2 linked regions of the Mytilus edulis genome follow. The protein of the gene in region 1 interacts with the protein of each later gene in a biochemical or structural test. Links are inferred from orthologs where the notes say so. Each region holds a gene or a part of one and is shown on either strand. Other genes may lie near its edges. The genes, in order: tyrosine-protein phosphatase non-receptor type 11-like and fibroblast growth factor receptor substrate 2-like.

What was found.
Region 2: the proteins of tyrosine-protein phosphatase non-receptor type 11-like (region 1) and fibroblast growth factor receptor substrate 2-like interact in a test that uses a peptide from one of them, tested with the Homo sapiens proteins (2 studies listed by BioGRID, with this or other methods). The link is inferred for Mytilus edulis from reciprocal best matches to the Homo sapiens genes PTPN11 and FRS2.

Annotation. Positions count from the first base shown.
Region 1 is NC_092356.1:58,021,374-58,030,759, reverse strand, and holds the start of tyrosine-protein phosphatase non-receptor type 11-like, read left to right. Parts: upstream 1-5,536; 5' UTR 5,537-5,683; coding exon 5,684-5,763; intron 5,764-9,386. UniProt on the Homo sapiens protein: Acts downstream of various receptor and cytoplasmic protein tyrosine kinases to participate in the signal transduction from the cell surface to the nucleus. Positively regulates MAPK signal transduction pathway. Dephosphorylates GAB1, ARHGAP35 and EGFR.
Region 2 is NC_092353.1:43,621,582-43,630,382, reverse strand, and holds the start of fibroblast growth factor receptor substrate 2-like, read left to right. Parts: upstream 1-5,171; 5' UTR 5,172-5,298; exon of another isoform or gene 5,299-5,506; intron 5,507-8,801. Other genes in the region: xaa-Arg dipeptidase-like, read right to left, coding at 841-1,206. UniProt on the Homo sapiens protein: Adapter protein that links activated FGR and NGF receptors to downstream signaling pathways.

The sequences.
Region 1 (9,386 bases):
CAGGTTATTTATCACACTTTCATATTTCATGTACATTGATGTACTACATAAACAGTACATATTTAATAAGTCACAGTATTTTGGAAATTAATTGCAAGTTTGAATGTCTTGTTGTTAACCCATGGCCAGTTCAGCTAAGTCTGCCATTTTAGAAACATTGAATGGATGCTGTTGTATTTGATAAATAATGACTGTTCAAATCAGGATATCAATATTATGTGAACCACTTCAGATACAGAAAATCTGACAGAAGCAGAAAATTACAGAATGTTGACACATATACATGTATGTACATTTTTGTAAGTGTACTGACTGTTCTTGTACAATGTACACAAAATATGTCGAACTACATTTCATGAGTTATTGCCCTTGGATGAATATTTTTCCTCTATTCTGCTTTGATCAAGCACTAATACTATATAAGTTAAGTGATTGACATGATTGAGATGAACTTAGAACAGAAAAAAAGTGATCAGTAATACAAGATTCTCACTAAGGCGAGTCTATGAGTCCTGGACTCATGAAAATCTGTCTGGACTCATCATTTTCAAAACTGCTGAGTCCAAAGATGCATCAAGATTGATATATTTTGTATAAACTGAACACACAAATCATCATTTAATAGCAAAAGTTTAAAAGAAATCTGAATTTGATGTAAATTCATTGCTCTATTGGGTAATGGAGACTTAAATGATGAATTATCTTGCAATGAAATATCTTGTTCTTACTGTTGGACTCGCCACAGCCAAACATGACGAGTCCCCGGACTCGCCATCTAAATTCCTTAGTGAGAACACTGGTACTAATAAAAGAAAAAAAAGATATTTTCTTGTCATGAATCATATTTAGTCTACATACAATGTTAGGGATGCACACAAACCTAGCAGAATAACATGACTAGTTCCTAAGGGACGACATCAAAGAATCAACATAGGATAAACAACTTAAATCAAATAGAGTTGGAGGGGGGTGGGGTTGCAAGCTGCAAGTTTTAATTGACATCGATTTTACATGTATCCATATTGGTCATGATCAATTTTTCCCAAATTAAGAAAAGAGGGGAAGGGGTCTTTAAAAAAAAATATGCTACATTGAACTTTTGATGTTATTGTTTTGCTCTTGAAGCATTTAAAGTAAAAAAATGAATAGCTGTCGAAATCCCATTTACAGGCTTTGACCTATAATGGTTTACTTAAATTATAAATTGTTACTTGGATGGAGAGTTGTCTCATTGGCACTGACATACCACATATTTCTATATCTATTATCTATTAAGGGAGGATAAGTTAACACACTAACTTCCTTATGATACATGTTATATACTACATTGTACAATGTTATATGGACATATATTTGAGATGCTGTGGATTCATTATTATTTGCGGAATTCCAATTGTGGATAATAGTGTCAGAACCACAAATTTTAATTTTTGACATCAGTGGTGGATCCAGAGTGGGGTTCTGGGGGTTGGAACCCCCTCTTTTTTTAGGTCGAACAATGCATTTGAATGGGGACATATAGTTGGAACCCCCCCTTTATCCTGGGTTGGGAACCCCCCTTTTTAAAATGGCTGGATCCGCCCCTGGACATAGTACAGTTTTTCTAAAGACGTGTATCAAATATGTGTATGCAGATTTTGGCTCAACAAGTCATGCAAGTCAAACATTTTTTTTAATGTGTATCCTTGATTTATATATAGATAAATAATCATTGAGTCATTTACCAAGATATAGATTGCTTTCTTTCATTCTTTGACACAGATATATATGTAAACATTGTACTTGCTTTTTAAATCCTATAGGTTTGAAATAATCAATAAAATTTGAGTTTGTATACCTTATCATGCTTGTAGTCTTCCCTGTGAGAAACTTCCTTCTAAATAAATTTACCACTTTATTGTTATTCCAAAGGTTAAATCTGTATTCACTTTACTTTTTAGGAAGAAAAATCAATTATTTTTCTGTAATATCATACATAACAGAGCAAGCTTATCTTTTAAATCTTTTATCTTTTATAGTTTGAACAAATTTGAATTGTATATATTTATATATTTGATGCACAGTTACTTCCTTAAAGCACAGGTTTAAATCATTTCGAAAGAAATAATTAAATATACTTGTATGTATCGACAAAATTTATGAAAGTGGTCAAACTCTTCCTTTGTACAGTTTTCAACCCACTCCCCTCAAACTTCACTGCAAGATTGCACATCTCATATTTAAGTTATACAGTATATGGATCTGCTATTATGGAATTGTTTTAGGAACTTTTTGATATTTTTTTCAAACTAAGTCAACTTTAAGCAATGATATGAAAGAGTGTCCAAGTTTAACATCTCCTGCTTTTCTCAACTTCTCATACAGATTTCAACCCTTAGACTTCTCAGAAAGATTGTACACATCCATGACATCATGCTGCTTTTGCACATGTTCAAGTTGTACACTTACTATGTACTTATTAGGCCATAAAAAAGAATATGTTTGTTTGCCCTAACCCTACCTACCCAGAAAATATCTGCCTAGTCAAAATCTTTTATTAGATATAGGAAGATGTGGTATGCGTGCCAATGAGACAACTCTCCATCCAATTCTAATATGACGTTCTTCTTAAGCTTTGGGTACAAAGCCATGTTCTAATTCAAATAGAACATGGGCTGCACGTGATTGACGTCACAATTGAAATTGCAACATCAGGTGAATTTTGAAAAACGCCAGAGATCAAAATGGACATTTTTGTTGGTGTTGCTTGCTAGGAAATTAAATAAAAACATTCTAAAAGTAAGTTTAAATGTTTCTGTTCTTTTTTCATTGAGAAACTGCTGATTTTCTATAACGTTTTTGGTTCATGAAATGAAAATGGCGACATTTCGAGCGTCTACTATAGGTTCTCTTCGAAGTGAAAAAGTTCAAATATTCCTATATCGCTAACACTTGGTATTAAGATATTAACAAATATAATGCCTACCCATGTTAAAATGAGCATAGAGCATGGCAGGATAGAATTATTTCTTAAATAACAATCCACAAAAGTAAACCATTATAGGTCAATGTTCAGCCTTCAACACGGAGCCTTGGCTCACACTGAACAACAAGCTATAAAGGGCCCCAAAATTACTAGTGTAAAACCATTCAAACGGGAAAACCAACGGTCTGATCTATATAAAAAACAAGAAACACTTATAAATAACATAAACAAACGACAACTTACTGTACATCAGATTCCTGACTAAGGACAGGTGCAAACATTAACATTAATGGTACCAAACCTTCTCCCTTTTTCTGAAACAATAGTACAAATGTATAACATCACAACATAGAAAAACACGATAAAATATCAATTGGAAGGCTTAACTCAATCAAAAAATGTAAATCAACCCACCATGAACGAATAAATCTGATCTGCGATACCTGAATGCAACCACACAAATTATTAGGGACAATTACATTCAAGGCCAAAAAAGCAAACAAACAAGTCCAAACAAAGCCATGGCAAGACATCCCCAAAATATTTAACAACCCTTAGAAAATAATCACTCTTGAAAAAAAACCAGTTTCATAATATACACAGGTAAATGAAAAATAACTTTGGATATTGCCTTGATTTGAAAAAGTGTTTTTTTTAATAAGATCGTCATGACTGAAAAAAATCTGACACTTCAATTTCTCTTTGTCGAAATAAAAAAAAAAAAGGCCGACCTTCCCAATGTCTCAACCTTTCGGTAGGGTTTGGGCAAACCAAAATATTTTTAAGTGTGGCCTTATGGAATTGTTTTAAAAAAATTTTTAAATTTAAGGACTCGGGGGAACCAAGGAGGTTTAACTAACATACGTCCTTGGGGGAACTTAGATACTTTCAAGAAAATTTACAACCTTCATGTAATTGAAGAGTTAGATAATGCTCTATATACAGATATATGTTATATAAGATTCTAAAAAGAGCATTTATAGCTGTAAAATTTATATTCACTAATTTGACTCAAATTCTTATATTTGATTTATAGCATGTACTAAAAGGTATATATTCAAATTACAAAAAAGTCTTAGATATAAAACAATTGAGAATGCACAGATCATTAAAACATTGTATACATGTATCAGCAATTCAAGTGTTTTTAAGACTTTGCTTGATGTCATCTAACTAACCATTGAGATGACCTCTGAAGACTGAAGATTGTCTAATAACTAGATATGAACATAAGTATAAATAGATAGCGAGCACGTGCAATTAGATTTGTCTAGGTCAGTTATATTTTAGTATGGAAAAAAATGTCAACCATTTGTTTTTTACCAATGCAAAAATAGTATTTTGTGAATAGAATCAGTCCACCAAGTAGCTTGCTCTTGTTTCACTTTCTCTATTTACAAAAATGATTTAAGGGGTGAAATTGAAAGTCACATGAATATGAAATCCATGAGCTTTAATTATTGAGTTGCAATGTTTTAGTGCTTATTTTGATGAAACTTACTCCATAATGTTTGTATCTGTTAGTTTTTTTGGGGGGTTCAAGATGGAAAGTATATCCATGTATTTGTTTCCTTATTCATCCATTTTTTCACATCATATGATATAAATCATGTAAATGATAAATGATAGATGCCCAATTATAATGATAACAAATTAACACTTTGAAGATAATAAACTTTGCATATTAAGAGGTGTAAAATTGTAATGTAGTCATGAAGAGATTTAAATCCTCCCAGTTTGTATAATATTGTCCTAGCTTATTGAACTGTGATTTTATAAAGTTGTACAATGTACTTATGTATACATACATTTACTTCCTGTTAAAATGGTTTAGATGCATATTTAAAAAGATTGTGGGTTTTGTTTATTACAAGTTGTGAAATTAGATTTGTTGTTGTTAATAGATTTGGATAAAACTTGTAAGAGTGTAATGCATTTTGACAAAGCTTACCTGGATTTTGTTACATACATAATTATATATCTACATAAATTTAGATACTAACTTACCTTGAAATTACTTATATGCTGACTGTGTTAAATTTATTCTGTTGTGTATTGGCCACGGTACATGTGCATTCGTGTAACAGGACTTATCTATTTATTCATCCATCCTTACTTTCTGTTTGCCTAGATTGTTAAAGATTAAACTTCAGCATTAAGAATTTCATGTAGTACTTACCATGTTTACAGGTAGTGAAATGTGCATTTAATGGATAGACTGGCTTTTCATGTAATGAATAGAGTCTGAGGCAGAAAAGTTTTTTTGTAAAATAGTGGAAATCTTAAGCGTTGACAGTCAATTGATACATGTACATATCTTTGAAATTCTAGACAGGAATGACAAGAAATGACAATATTATAACTGTAAAAGTGAAAGATATCAAAATGAGAATATAACGACTATGCAAATATTGATATATTGTTACCTGATTTTCTTACCATGAAAAGACCAGGAAATAAAATGTTTCATGCCTGGTTTGCCAGCTTTATCTTTGTATCGAACATATAATCTTCAATTCAATCAAACTTCAAGTGAACTTTGTCTACAAGTTTTTATAAATACAATTTTTTTCAAAAGGGGAAATAAGTCATAATGATCGTGAAGTGTTTGGCTATAAGCAAGTTTCCTCTTTATCAATAATCAAAGGAAATGAGCGAGATTACTGGAAAACAACATCTCTAAAAACTTAAAGTTTGTTACAAGTTGACAGAGTTAACATGTCAGCCGGTGGCATGGTAGTAGATAGGATTACTGATGAAGCTAAAGGCCGGATATCAAGAATTATCCAACAAAGAAGGTAGGTCTGTTATAATAACTCTTAAAAGACAAGTGTGAATTGTTTAGACAAGTGACTCATTCACACTTTACATAAAACTTTACTTTTTACTTATAAACAGTAAAGTTTTCTTTTTTAAATATGTACATATCCAGCCCAGCAAAAAAAGATATATAAAAAGGGTACATGTTATCATTTGGTTTCTCTTTACCGACCGTGCAAGGGCTGTATAGCCAGTCAAGGTCGTTAAACACTTCCATTTGTTGTTGTTTGGTTTCTCTGTTTTATCGTTCCTAATTAGGTATGGGTTTCTCTCACTAATTTTTTTCCAGTTATTTAGAAGTTTTAAAGAGGTATAGGTTTCTCTTTTATCAGTCACTTGGTGTTTAATAAAAGAGGTACAATAGTGTCCATAATAGGTTTCTCTGTAATATCTGTCATTTAGATGTTTAAAAGGGGTATGCATTCCTTTGTTTTAACATTAATTTAGGTGTTTAAAAGAGGTATGGGTTTCTCTGTTTTATCAGTTATTTTGGTGTTTAAAAGAGGTATAGGTTTCTCTGTTTTATCAGTTATTTTGGTGTTTAAAAGAGGTATGGGTTTCTCTGTTTTATCAGTTATTTTGGTGTTTAAAATAGGTATGGGTTTCTCTGTTTTATCAGTTATTTTGGTGTTTAAAAGAGGTATGGGTTTCTCTCACTAAGTTTTCTCAGTCATGTAGAAGTTTTAAAGAAGATGTGGGTTCCTCTGTTTTATCTGTCATTTACATGTAGGTGTTTAAAAAGGTATGGGTTTCCCTGTTTCATCATTCATTTAAGTGTTTGAACTGTTATTTAGGTGTTTAAATTCATTTTGGTGTTTAAAAAAGATATGGGTTTCTCTGTTTTATCGGTCATTTAGCTATAGGTGTTTAAGCTGTTATTAGGTGTTTAAATTCATTTAGGTGTTTAAAAGAGGTATGGGGTTCTCTGTCTCTGTTTTTCCCCAGTCATTTAGGTGTTTAAAAGAGGTATGGTTTTCTCTGTTTTATCAGTCAGTTAGGTGTTTGAACTGCTATTAGGTGTTTAAAAGAGGTATGGGGTTCTCTGTCTCTGTTTTTCCCCAGTAATTTAGGTGTTTAAAGAGGTATGGGTTTCTCTCACTAAGTTTTCTCAGTCATGTAGAAGTTTTAAAGAAGATGTGGGTTCCTCTGTTTTATCTGTCATTTACATGTAGGTGTTTAAAAAGGTATGGGTTTCCCTGTTTCATCATTCATTTAACATGTTTAAGTGTTTGAACTGTTATTTAGGTGTTTAAATTCATTTTGGTGTTTAAAAAAGATATGGGTTTCTCTGTTTTATCGGTCATTTAGCTATAGGTGTTTAAGCTGTTATTAGGTGTTTAAATTCATTTAGGTGTTTAAAAGAGGTATGGGGTTCTCTGTCTCTGTTTTTCCCCAGTCATTTAGGTGTTTAAAAGAGGTATGGTTTTCTCTGTTTTATCAGTCAGTTAGGTGTTTGAACTGCTATTAGGTGTTTAAAAGAGGTATGGGGTTCTCTGTCTCTGTTTTTCCCCAGTCATTTAGGTGTTTAAAAGAGGTATGGTTTTCTCTGTTTTATCAGTCAGTTAGGTGTTTGAACTGCTATTAGGTGTTTAAAAGAGGTATGGGGTTCTCTGTCTCTGTTTTTCCCCAGTAATTTAGGTGTTTAAAGAGGTATGGGTTTTTACTGTTTTATCATGCCTTTAGGTGTTTAAAAGAGTTGTCATGGTTGTGGGTTTCTTTGTTTCATCTGTCTTTAGTGTTTAAAAGATATTGGTTTCTCTGTTTTTTTAGTCATTTAGATATTTAAAAGCTGTATGGTTTTTCTCTGTTTTTTTAGTCATTTAGGTATTTAAAAGCTGTATGGTTTTTCTCTGTTTTTTTAGTCATTTAGGTATTTAAAAGCTGTATGGTTTTTCTCTGTTTTTTTAGTCATTTAGGTATTTGAAAGCTGGATGGTTTTTCTCTGTTTTTTTAGTCATTTAGGTATTTAAAAGCTGTATGGTTTTTCTCTGTTTTTTTTAGTCATTTAGGTATTTAAAAGCTGTATGGTTTTTCTCTGTTTTTTTTAGTCATTTAGGTATTTAAAAGAGTTATGTGTTTCTCCTTTTTATCAGGCATTTGTGTGTTTTGAAGAGGTATGGGTTTTTTCTTTTTTATCAATCATCTAACCTATATAGTATAATACATGTAATAGCTCATTTAATTGAGGGATTCAAGTTCTTGGTTCTTTGTTTAAAGAATTTATGGTTTTCCTGTTGAAGGCTGGTGGTTGACACTTTTGTTACTCCTGCTTTTTTCCACCAACTACCTGGCCATCATTATAGCAAAGTTAGTTGATAGTTGTTTGAAACACCAACAAACTGACAATAAAAGTGAAGGAAGTAAACTGTTTGTCATCAAAGATGGCTGTCATTGTGGAACAAAATAAAGGAATATCATTAGTTAAGTTTTAAAGAAAACAAGCTGGTTTTCAATCCTAAATTATTGGCCTTATTAATTTTCAAATTAGGTCAAGAAAAGTGGATATTAAGTGGTAATCCCTAAAGAGGGAAGCAAACCGTTGAGTTGCACTTGTTGACAAGAAGATTAAAAGTTTACTTATCATTAAGTGGACCAATCACTTGACGTATGATAAGGAAAAACTTCTAAAAAAAGAAAGTAATTAACTCAAGTTCCAGTCCCCACACATCCTCTTAAAAGTTTTTGCAGATAAAAAAAAAGGCATCATCAAAATTCACTCAATGCTGGTTTTCATAAATGTTGGAAGTTATTCCCTTCTTATACAGTTATATAACTATTTTGAATGCAAAATAAAAATAAGTTTAAAAATTCCTCCAATTGTGGGAACTTGCCAAATCTATTATGTCCACTCAGGGTGGGTTTTGGGGGGAAATGCATACATCTCGCATCATACCGGTAATGACATTAATCATACAGTTAGAATTCAGAGTTTTTAAACAATTTAATACCATTTCCATGTACAATGTATTTATGCCAATGTCTAAAAGGAAGATATTCTTGCATAAACATGTACAATATATTAAGACCCCCTGCCTGTACAACAGCTACTTTGTATTGACATTTATATATGCTATACTGGTGAAATTATTTGTTATCTACATTTTATATTTATTTACAGCCCTAGGTAAATCAGCTTTTGACATTAGTATACCTTTTATTGATATAAGTCTGATAAGGAACAGGAAGTAAATTACCCTTTTTTTAATTTATGCAATGAATACAGATTATAAATATACTGCCAGTAGAATTACTGGCCCAATCTCAAGAGGTCTACTTTGTAAATGGTCTGTCAGAAATTTTTTTGATTTGCTTGCAATTTCCCAGAGTATGATTAGGGAGCTACCATTTGATTTTTATGGGGGGGGGGGGGGGGGGGGGCTAGGATGAAATTTGAAAAAAATAGGCAGGACAGGAGTTTTGAGTAAAAAAAAAGGCAGGATGAAACACTTGTTAAAAAAAATAGGCAGGATGACAATTTGTGTAAAAAAAAGTCAGGATAAACTAGTAAAAAAAAAAGGCAGGACCGAATAGAGTAAAAAATAAAAAGGCAGGACAGAGATTACAACTAAAAAAAAAGCAGGACAAAATTTTTCATCCTAGC
Region 2 (8,801 bases), on another chromosome or scaffold:
TTTTTCTTATATATATATATGTATAAAGTGCCTAGAAAATCAACCTAACGATGCTAGAGTAGATTTGATTGTAACAATATATAATTATATATAGAGGAAGATGTGGTATGATTGCCAATGAGACAACTATCCACAAGAGAACAAATGACACAGAAAGAAACAACTAAAGGTCACCGTACGGCATGTCTGATTCATAGAGTACGACGGCTATATTCTAATCGAGGTAACCACAATCGCGTCCTCCTTTTCTCCGAATGAGGCATACAGAATTCAGTAGACTGATCATCGAGTTTGTACTTAAATGAGCAACACGACAACATGTGGATCAACCTCTGTTTATCCACCTGTGGCACCTAAGATAAACCCGGGTATTGGTTGGATTTGTGTGCGCAGTCTTTGGTTTTCTACATTGTGTTTTGTAACTGTTTCTTGTCTTTTTGATCTTTTTCGAGGTTTTGGGAGGGATTTATTTGGGGGCGGGGGTGTATGGCGTTGCCAGTTAGCATTCAGCTTTGAGTTTGAATGACCCTTTGGTATATTTCGCCTCTACTTTCAAGATTCTGTAAGCTTTGTCGTTGACTGAATGATAATAAGAAACAATAAATGAAGTTGCCAAGGTACTGTCTAAAACTGATAATTCAAATGTTTTCAGAAACATGCATATGTCGAATTAATTCTAACGTAATTTCGAAGTATTACCAATGGATTGATGTTGCTGATGGTGAGATGCAAGCTCTCTAAAAGACTTTCGTTTAAGCGAACTTAGGCTAAGGTTTACAGTCTCCTTGTGTCTTGTAACTCCTTTGTATTAGTTAATCACAAGATAAAATGTTTACCTACCTTGCCAAATGGTTTTTCTGCTTTCCTCAATGCTGCTTTTATTCCAAGACCAGCGGCAACACCAGCTTCAGCAATCAAGTTATGCCCACATGCATGTCCGATCTCTGGTAACGCATCATATTCACAAATCACGGCAATGTTAGGTCCATTTTCTGTGGATCCTAGTTCAGCTTTAAATCCAGTCTCCATCGCAAATTTTTGTTGAACATTAAAACCTTTACATTCAAGAAAATTGGTTAGTATTTCGTGCGCATGATGTTCCTCAAAGTTCAGTTCTGGATTTCGCCATATATCAATGCTCAGTTTTTCCAATTCTTCTGACGCCTCATCAATTGCTTGAAATATTGACTGTTTCAACAAATCCATTTTATCAATACAGCGAGAGAACACCAACACAAATGCAGAGTATCATATATATTTTACTTTTGATAGAATTGAAGTTGAAAAATATTTATATGACCCACTTATATTTTAGGACATGTATAAATTTATCTGAAGTCAATGATATAACACGTACGATTTATGATAAAGCCTTGAAATTTACCTCACCGAGCCATTTCATTGTAGTTGAGAACAAGATTTCGTCTGTAGATTTTATCCGAATTTATATTGATGTCCATTACTTTTTTCAAACGTCATTTTACCAGAAGTGATATATTTTGATACAATATACATCTTCAGTCCGATTTTTGGAAACAATAATGTACTATTGTGCTCCCTAGTTACATCAAGGCTGAACTGTGACAATTTCCATTGGTGTACGGTACTAGCACAAACATTATCAGTAAGTTACAGTGGGTCCAAAACACAGCAGCATGTTTAAATACACGAAAAAATAAATTTGACTCAATTACGCCTGTTCTTATATCTTTACACTGGCTATTCATACATTACCGTTGCCAATATAAACTTCTTTTATATTGTAAAAAGCGCAGCATGGCAATGCTCCTAGTTACCTTCAAGATTTAATTACGACATACAAACCCAGTAATCCCTCAGGTCGGAAAATATAAAATAGACGTCCGAACGAAAAGCTACGATGAGAGGCGTTTTGACAAGGCTGCACCTACACTATGGAACAATTTTTCATTGTCCTTGTGGAGTGTACATTCTTTAGATGTTTTTAAAAAGTAACTCAAGACTCACTTATTTCGAACTGCTTTTAAGGTTTTATTGTAGAATTTATATAATTAGTTTTAGACTGTTTTGTATATTTTAAGGTATGTATATGTTGTGTACAAGTTGTAATGTTGTACAAATTATAATTTGTACAAAATTTTTGTACAAGTTATCAGAGTTTCATGAACCGCTTTACACAAATGGATGATGCAAGCACACAGTCTTTTGTTTCGCATATGTCTGTCATATTTCCACAACTACATTTTTATTCCTTTTATTTTTTTTTAGTGTCTTTTTTAAATGCTTGTTTGATTCTTTTAAGTCAGTGCTTTGTAATTTATGTTTTATGTATTTTTGTATTTTATTTATTTTCAAATGTGAAGCGCTTAGAGTAATTGTTGTTACTATATAATGCGCTCTATAAATGTTGTATTTATTATTGATATACTAACATAAAAAAAACATATATATACCTGGAATTGTGATTTTAAAAAGAATGGTGAAAACAGTATTCTATCGAATATTAAAAGACATTAAACTTCAAAAGAATAACATTTTACATAGAAGCAGCAGAAGCATTATTTTTGGTTATTTTAAATAATTCAAAAGAATGTAAAGTGTTTTTTCTCAATTGCAAGGTTATGTTGTAATGTCAATATGGTATCGAAATGTTAAACATAAGTTCGGATTCTCAAAAACAGATGTTTAGTGTCTATTCGTCTTGCATATTTCTTTTCGCACGTTTATTTTCCCCGTTCAATTATGAGAAATATACTTGATATTGTCGACAACCGACAATCTGGTTAACAGAAAAAGCAAAATGACCCATTCTTTCATATTTTTTAAATGGTGGTATTAATTTTGGACGGGCAAGGTCGGATCCTTCGGGACTCCGGGATCGAGTGTTTTTAAGGGCACACGATTCAGTTTTGATCCCATATCTAAATTTTGCTGACAATTTGCATATAGGCTATTTTTGGCCTGATTAAATCAATTAATATGTAATAAAAAATATATGTGCGCGATACCAAATCAGATATCTCGCAATTTCTACATATTTTAGCACACTGGTACATTTTTGTACTTTCAATCGAGTTTCATTGGAATGTGCAATAAGAAATAGGGGTTACCAAATTTTTTCTTTTGATTTTAAGAAGAAAACGTCAATTTTGGCGACAAATTTACTTATTTATATATGCTAGTTTTAGTCTTTCTCCGTATATAATAACATATAAAAATTTCCAATTGATGGCTATGTTATTTTATACGGAGAAAGACTAAAACTAGCATAAAATCCAGGATTGTATACTGAATCCATGAATGTATGGAAAAACATATGTCGACATCCTTGTTTTTTACGGTAAACAAATATGTTTAGAATTTGACAGAAAAAGTGCGACGTTTTTGAATAACGTTACTTTAATGCCTCGATCACACGTACATTTAATTAGAATTAGCTAATTCGCATTATCCAATTCGCATTAGAAATATGTTCACTAATACGAATCAGTAAACTTGCATTAAACAGTGGTATAGACACCCAGTCTAAATTGTAATTCGAATTAAATTATTTATTAATTATGGACTTTTGACAATACGTTATATATGATATTCCAATATGACGTGCTTCTTTCGCTTTATGAATAAACCCATGCTCTAAAATCCAATAGTCTTTTTTTGCACATGCGTTTATTGACTACTGCAGAATAATGAATTTTATCAAAATGGCATGCATTTGATATATTTCATTAACTTAAAACACTTCCAAACTCTTGAATGAAGCATATCATTGTTGTTACTAATTCATTTATTATGACTGTAATTGTGTTGCATTCCGAAATTGACATATTTGACCTATGCTGTTCATACTGGCCGTTCATACTGGCTGTTCAAAAACTCCTCCCTCTGAAAAACCACAGTGCCAGCTGTTTGCTTCTTTACAAACAAAAAAGGGAGATTCACGGAAGAGCCTACACAATCACTTTACCCTTATACACATCGGCCATAGAAATTACCTGAATTGTCCTAATCATGTAGTCCGAATCGAAATAATTGATGCAAGCTATACTATATTGTAGTTTTAACATGGGTAGGCATTATATCCGTGTTATTTTAGCCCTCACTATCGCTCGGGCAAAAATAATCAAGAATATAATGCCTACCCATGTTAAAACTACAATAAAGTATAGCTTGCATCAATTATTTCTTAAATATTGACCGAGGACGAGGACGAAGCTTATAACATACAAAATTTCTGAATACAGCTAAGTCCTCGGTTAAAATGATCAGATATAAGCACACATAAGCATCAGAGTAACTAAAGATGTGTCAGAAGCATGTTTAAACTGTCACCGTCAGAGATTTGTCACGAATGATTGATGGATTAGTCTGTGATACGTGATTTTTTTCTCAGTGGGTTTGAAATCATTTTCTAATAAGCAAGGAGCCAATTCCTGATTTTTTTCAATGTTCTCGATAATTTGTTCCCCACAAAAATGACTAGTAAGTTTACAGTAACTAAAATTTGACATAACAAAGAATATAAAAAAACGATTGGTTTTCAAAGAAGGTTCACTGATGTTTTCCATTCCGCAACAGTAGTATATCCATCAGTGGCGGATCCAGAAATTTACATAAGTGGGGGCCCACTGACTGACCTGAAGAGGGGGCCCGCTCCAGTCACACTTCAATGATTCCCTATATAAGCAACCAAATTTTTTCCCAAAAAGGGGGGGCGAGCCCCCTGCGCCCCCCCCCCTAAATCCGCCTCTGTCCATTTCATAAATGTGTTTAATATGCATTTTATATTTTAGTTTGAAGTTAATGGTGACAACTAACAACCACACTTCATCACCCCATGTAATATACCATTAAAATTACCGGAACACATTTTTTGTCATGAAACAATTGAAATAGCCTGTATATTCTCATAAAATAATTAATTTATTGATAAGTCTACTTGCAAAGAAGAAATTATGTATTTAAGGACTTTTTAATTAGAATGATCTAAATTGACCAAAGCACCATTATTTTTTAAAATCACCTCATCAAAATTTACATTTAAATTTGACGATATTGCCTGAATCCTTCTTAATTCTTATAAAAAAATGCGTGTAATGCTTCTTCAACTTCCACTTATAGACAATAGTACTCGTAGTGCTTTGATTGTAAGGGGTTTTGTAAAATTTAACACGGATTCAAATCGGATTGATGAAAGGTCAAGGTTAATTTAATCAAACGGAAGTTATTGACATTCTGATTTAAATGGGCATGTGTTATAAGATTTGAACCGCTCACCTGCATTATAATTAAGTGAAAATGATATAGTTTTAATTGCAGGTAAGCTCCCATTAACATATTTTAAAAATAGAGATACGTCACAGTGTGTGACAAACCAGGGAATCTTAAAAATGAAGTCTACCAAATGCAACAGCTGATCATGACAGTGGTAGTGCTCAGCACTATAATTTCGCAAGCCCGTATAACATATAGCATTTCGTTGTCAGTAGATGAATGAAGATTTTTCCCTCGTTGAAGCTTAGAATATGTGAGTAGTAGAAATATTCAGCTTGGCAACTGCTTCCGTTATTTTGTAAATTAATGTTTTAACCAGGAAAGATGATCATGAGGGTATGGCCTATGAAACTATGTCATGCTACATGTACATGTATGTGTTGTAGACCTGGAGATCAGGGCCGTAACTAGGGTTCTAATTCAGGGGAGGCAGGAATTTGGGGCCGCTGACTGAGTGAGGCCCCCAAGAGAGGGGGTGGGGGGTGGTAAAATGGCTAAAAATGACCAGTTTTCCTTCGATTTCCTTACTCTAAGAGACATCAGTATTGCTTGAAGTTAGAAACCATTTTAAAGCAAAGACAAGCTGAGATTGTTGTTTGGGGTGAGCCAAGGCTCCTTCTTAAATGCTGTTATTTGGCCTATAATTATTTACTTTAAATACATTGTAACCATGGATTTTTTTCTCAATATGGCTATAAATGACCCGTTTTTCTTCGATTTCCTTACTTTAAGAAATATCAGTAATGCTGGATCCTGGAAGCAATTTTTATGCAAACAATTATTACCTGTATTTAAAGATATTTTTATTAGAAATCGAACTGGTAAGTTAAAAAAAAACATATAAAGCAACTAAGATCATGGAACGCAAGATAATTTTTTTATCGAGGACCTTGAATTTCAATATTGTTGAAAGCTGAACAGACATGTATATAACTAAAAACAGGGACTTTAAATACAGTCAAGTATATACTTAGTATAGAAAGTCCCTGTTACAACGAATGGGGGTGAACTACATTTACTAAGGCATTAACCATAATGTTCTCGTATGATCGGGAGAAGCGGTTAAAACAGCTGATTCAGCCGGTAATTTGGTGTAGAAAATTCAAGGAGGCAGTTGCCTCCCCTGCCTCATAGGTAGTTACGGCCCTGGAGATATAAAGGTAGTCGTGTACGTCTAACTAGTTGATTTAGGGAAGATCTTCTTTGTCTCAATTGGTTAGAGTGCTGCCTTTAGATCCCTTGATTGAGGGTTTGAATCCTGCTGGTACCATCCATGGATTTTTCATGGCAATGGTGCTACGAGCATCTGCTAATGATATAAACCATGTATATAGAATATTGCCTGGCAGATCGATGTTAGATATGGTCATGAAGTTTGACCAGGTCATAGAATGACAGTTACAGGTGTAGGGTGACATGCAGAGAACTGGCCAGAGGGTTTCCGAGGAGAAGTCCCAGGGTTGTACAGTAGTTGCTCAGATGTGGATGGTAAGCAGCTCAATTCCTTAAAATAAATACCATACCCGTAATTTTTTCACAAAAATATTTTTTTTTATTTACCATAAAATTCACAAAATCATATATTTGATCATAAGTAGAAAAAAAACAATACTTGCAATATGGTGACCTATAGTTGTTAATTTCTGTGTCATTTGGCCTTTTGCAGAGAGTTGTCTCATTGGCAATCAGACCTTATGATGGCTTATCTTCTTCTTTTTATTGATTGCATTTGAATACACTTTTTTTAACTTAAAAAAAAACCCAAACAGAATACAAATCCAATGAGTGTACAGGCCTATCAGATGGTGCCTCATGATTAGAGTCTGATGAGACTAGCATTGATGGAAACTAGAACCTAATTCCTGTGATATGACTAGTTTAGCAGTTGTACTTGACTCATATTTTTGAAAAGTATTTAAAAAAAAATACATCAAATTCCGTTATATTGTTTAAATTCGTTTTGCTCCTTTAATCAACTAAACATGTAAAAAGGTTATTTTTAATAGAAATTTTTGGACAAGTAACGATTTCATTCGGACAAGTAAATTTTGGTATGTACTTGTCCTACAGGACAAGTTGAAAAAAAGTTATTGTAGAGGCCTGCATAATGGAAATACAGTTTTATAGATCTTTATACAGTAAAACCTGTATAAACCGGCCGGCTACGGGACTATGAAAAAGGGCCGGTTTGGACGGTGAGCCGGTTTATTCAGGTTTCCGTTTTGACCGGAAGTTACTGACTTGTGACGTCCGATATTTTGCATGTAAAAGTTCTCTCTGATTGTAAATTATATCTCATAAATTAAAATACTTCACTTCGTTTTTCATTGTTTTCATTTGCATCATAATGCTCGCTTTTTTTTGGATTGTCAGACAAGAGTTTCCATTTACTTCCATGATCATTAATTTAAAATGTTGGAATGGCCGATTAAAAAGCCAGAATATCATCAAACGTAATATTCATCACTATCGAAACGTTGTCGTACAGCGTACAATACCCATTGATTGTTGTCATCCGGGTGTTTTTCATTATCAAGGTCATTTGTTTAGGGGTTCATAACAGGGAATCCGGGACTTCGAAATTTCTTACTCCTCGATTTAAATTTGTTTATCCAAGTTACAACGTAATTTCACTCCGAGATATATTCGTTGTGTCTTCTTTTCGTTTAATTGATCATTTATAATGTTTTAATAAATAATACAGCTCACTACTGTACGATTGTAAGTTCACAGTTTAACACCTGACTAATTGATTACTTGAAAAGCCATATTGTATAAACAAATATGTTTTGATTGTATATCGATCATTGAAATTAATTAGACAAACCGGTTTTGACAGGTAATAATTAATGTTATTAACAGTATTGGAACTTCATAATTAGTCCGGAATTCGGAATACACAGGGTCCGGTTTACAAAGGGTATTTTAACAAAGACTTTAAAGGAGAAAAATTGGGACTTTCATTTTCGGCCGGAATGGACAGGAAACCGGTTTATTCAGGGTCCGGTTTAGTCAGGTTTGACTGTATATATAAAGGTAAAGTAGATGTTGCCATGGATAGAAAATAAGTGCAGTCCTCGACAATAACGCTTGTCCGATTGTCCGGTACCAGAGGTAAAAAAGGTCGGACAAGTAAAAGCTATACCAAGCTTTTCCGATGGGACAAGTAGAATCATTCTGCAGAAAATAAATTTTAATCCAACTTTGATGAACAAAGTATAATTATTAACAAAAAAACAAGAAAAGAAGATTTGTTTGACATCTTTCCTTTTTAAACTTAAACTAATTATACCCCCGCTTTATTATACCCTCGCTTTAAAAAAGGGGGGGTATACTGTTTTACCTCTGTCTGTCCATCCGTTTGTCAGTCAGTCTGTCCCATGAAACTTTCGTCACATTTTTCTCAGGAACTACACATCCACCCTTTCTGTAATTTGGTATCAACATTTATATATGTCAGCCATACCGTGTGATGCGTTTTCAGATTCATTACTTGACAACTTCCTGTTAACCGAACACTTGTCTGATTTTACACATGATAGCCAAGT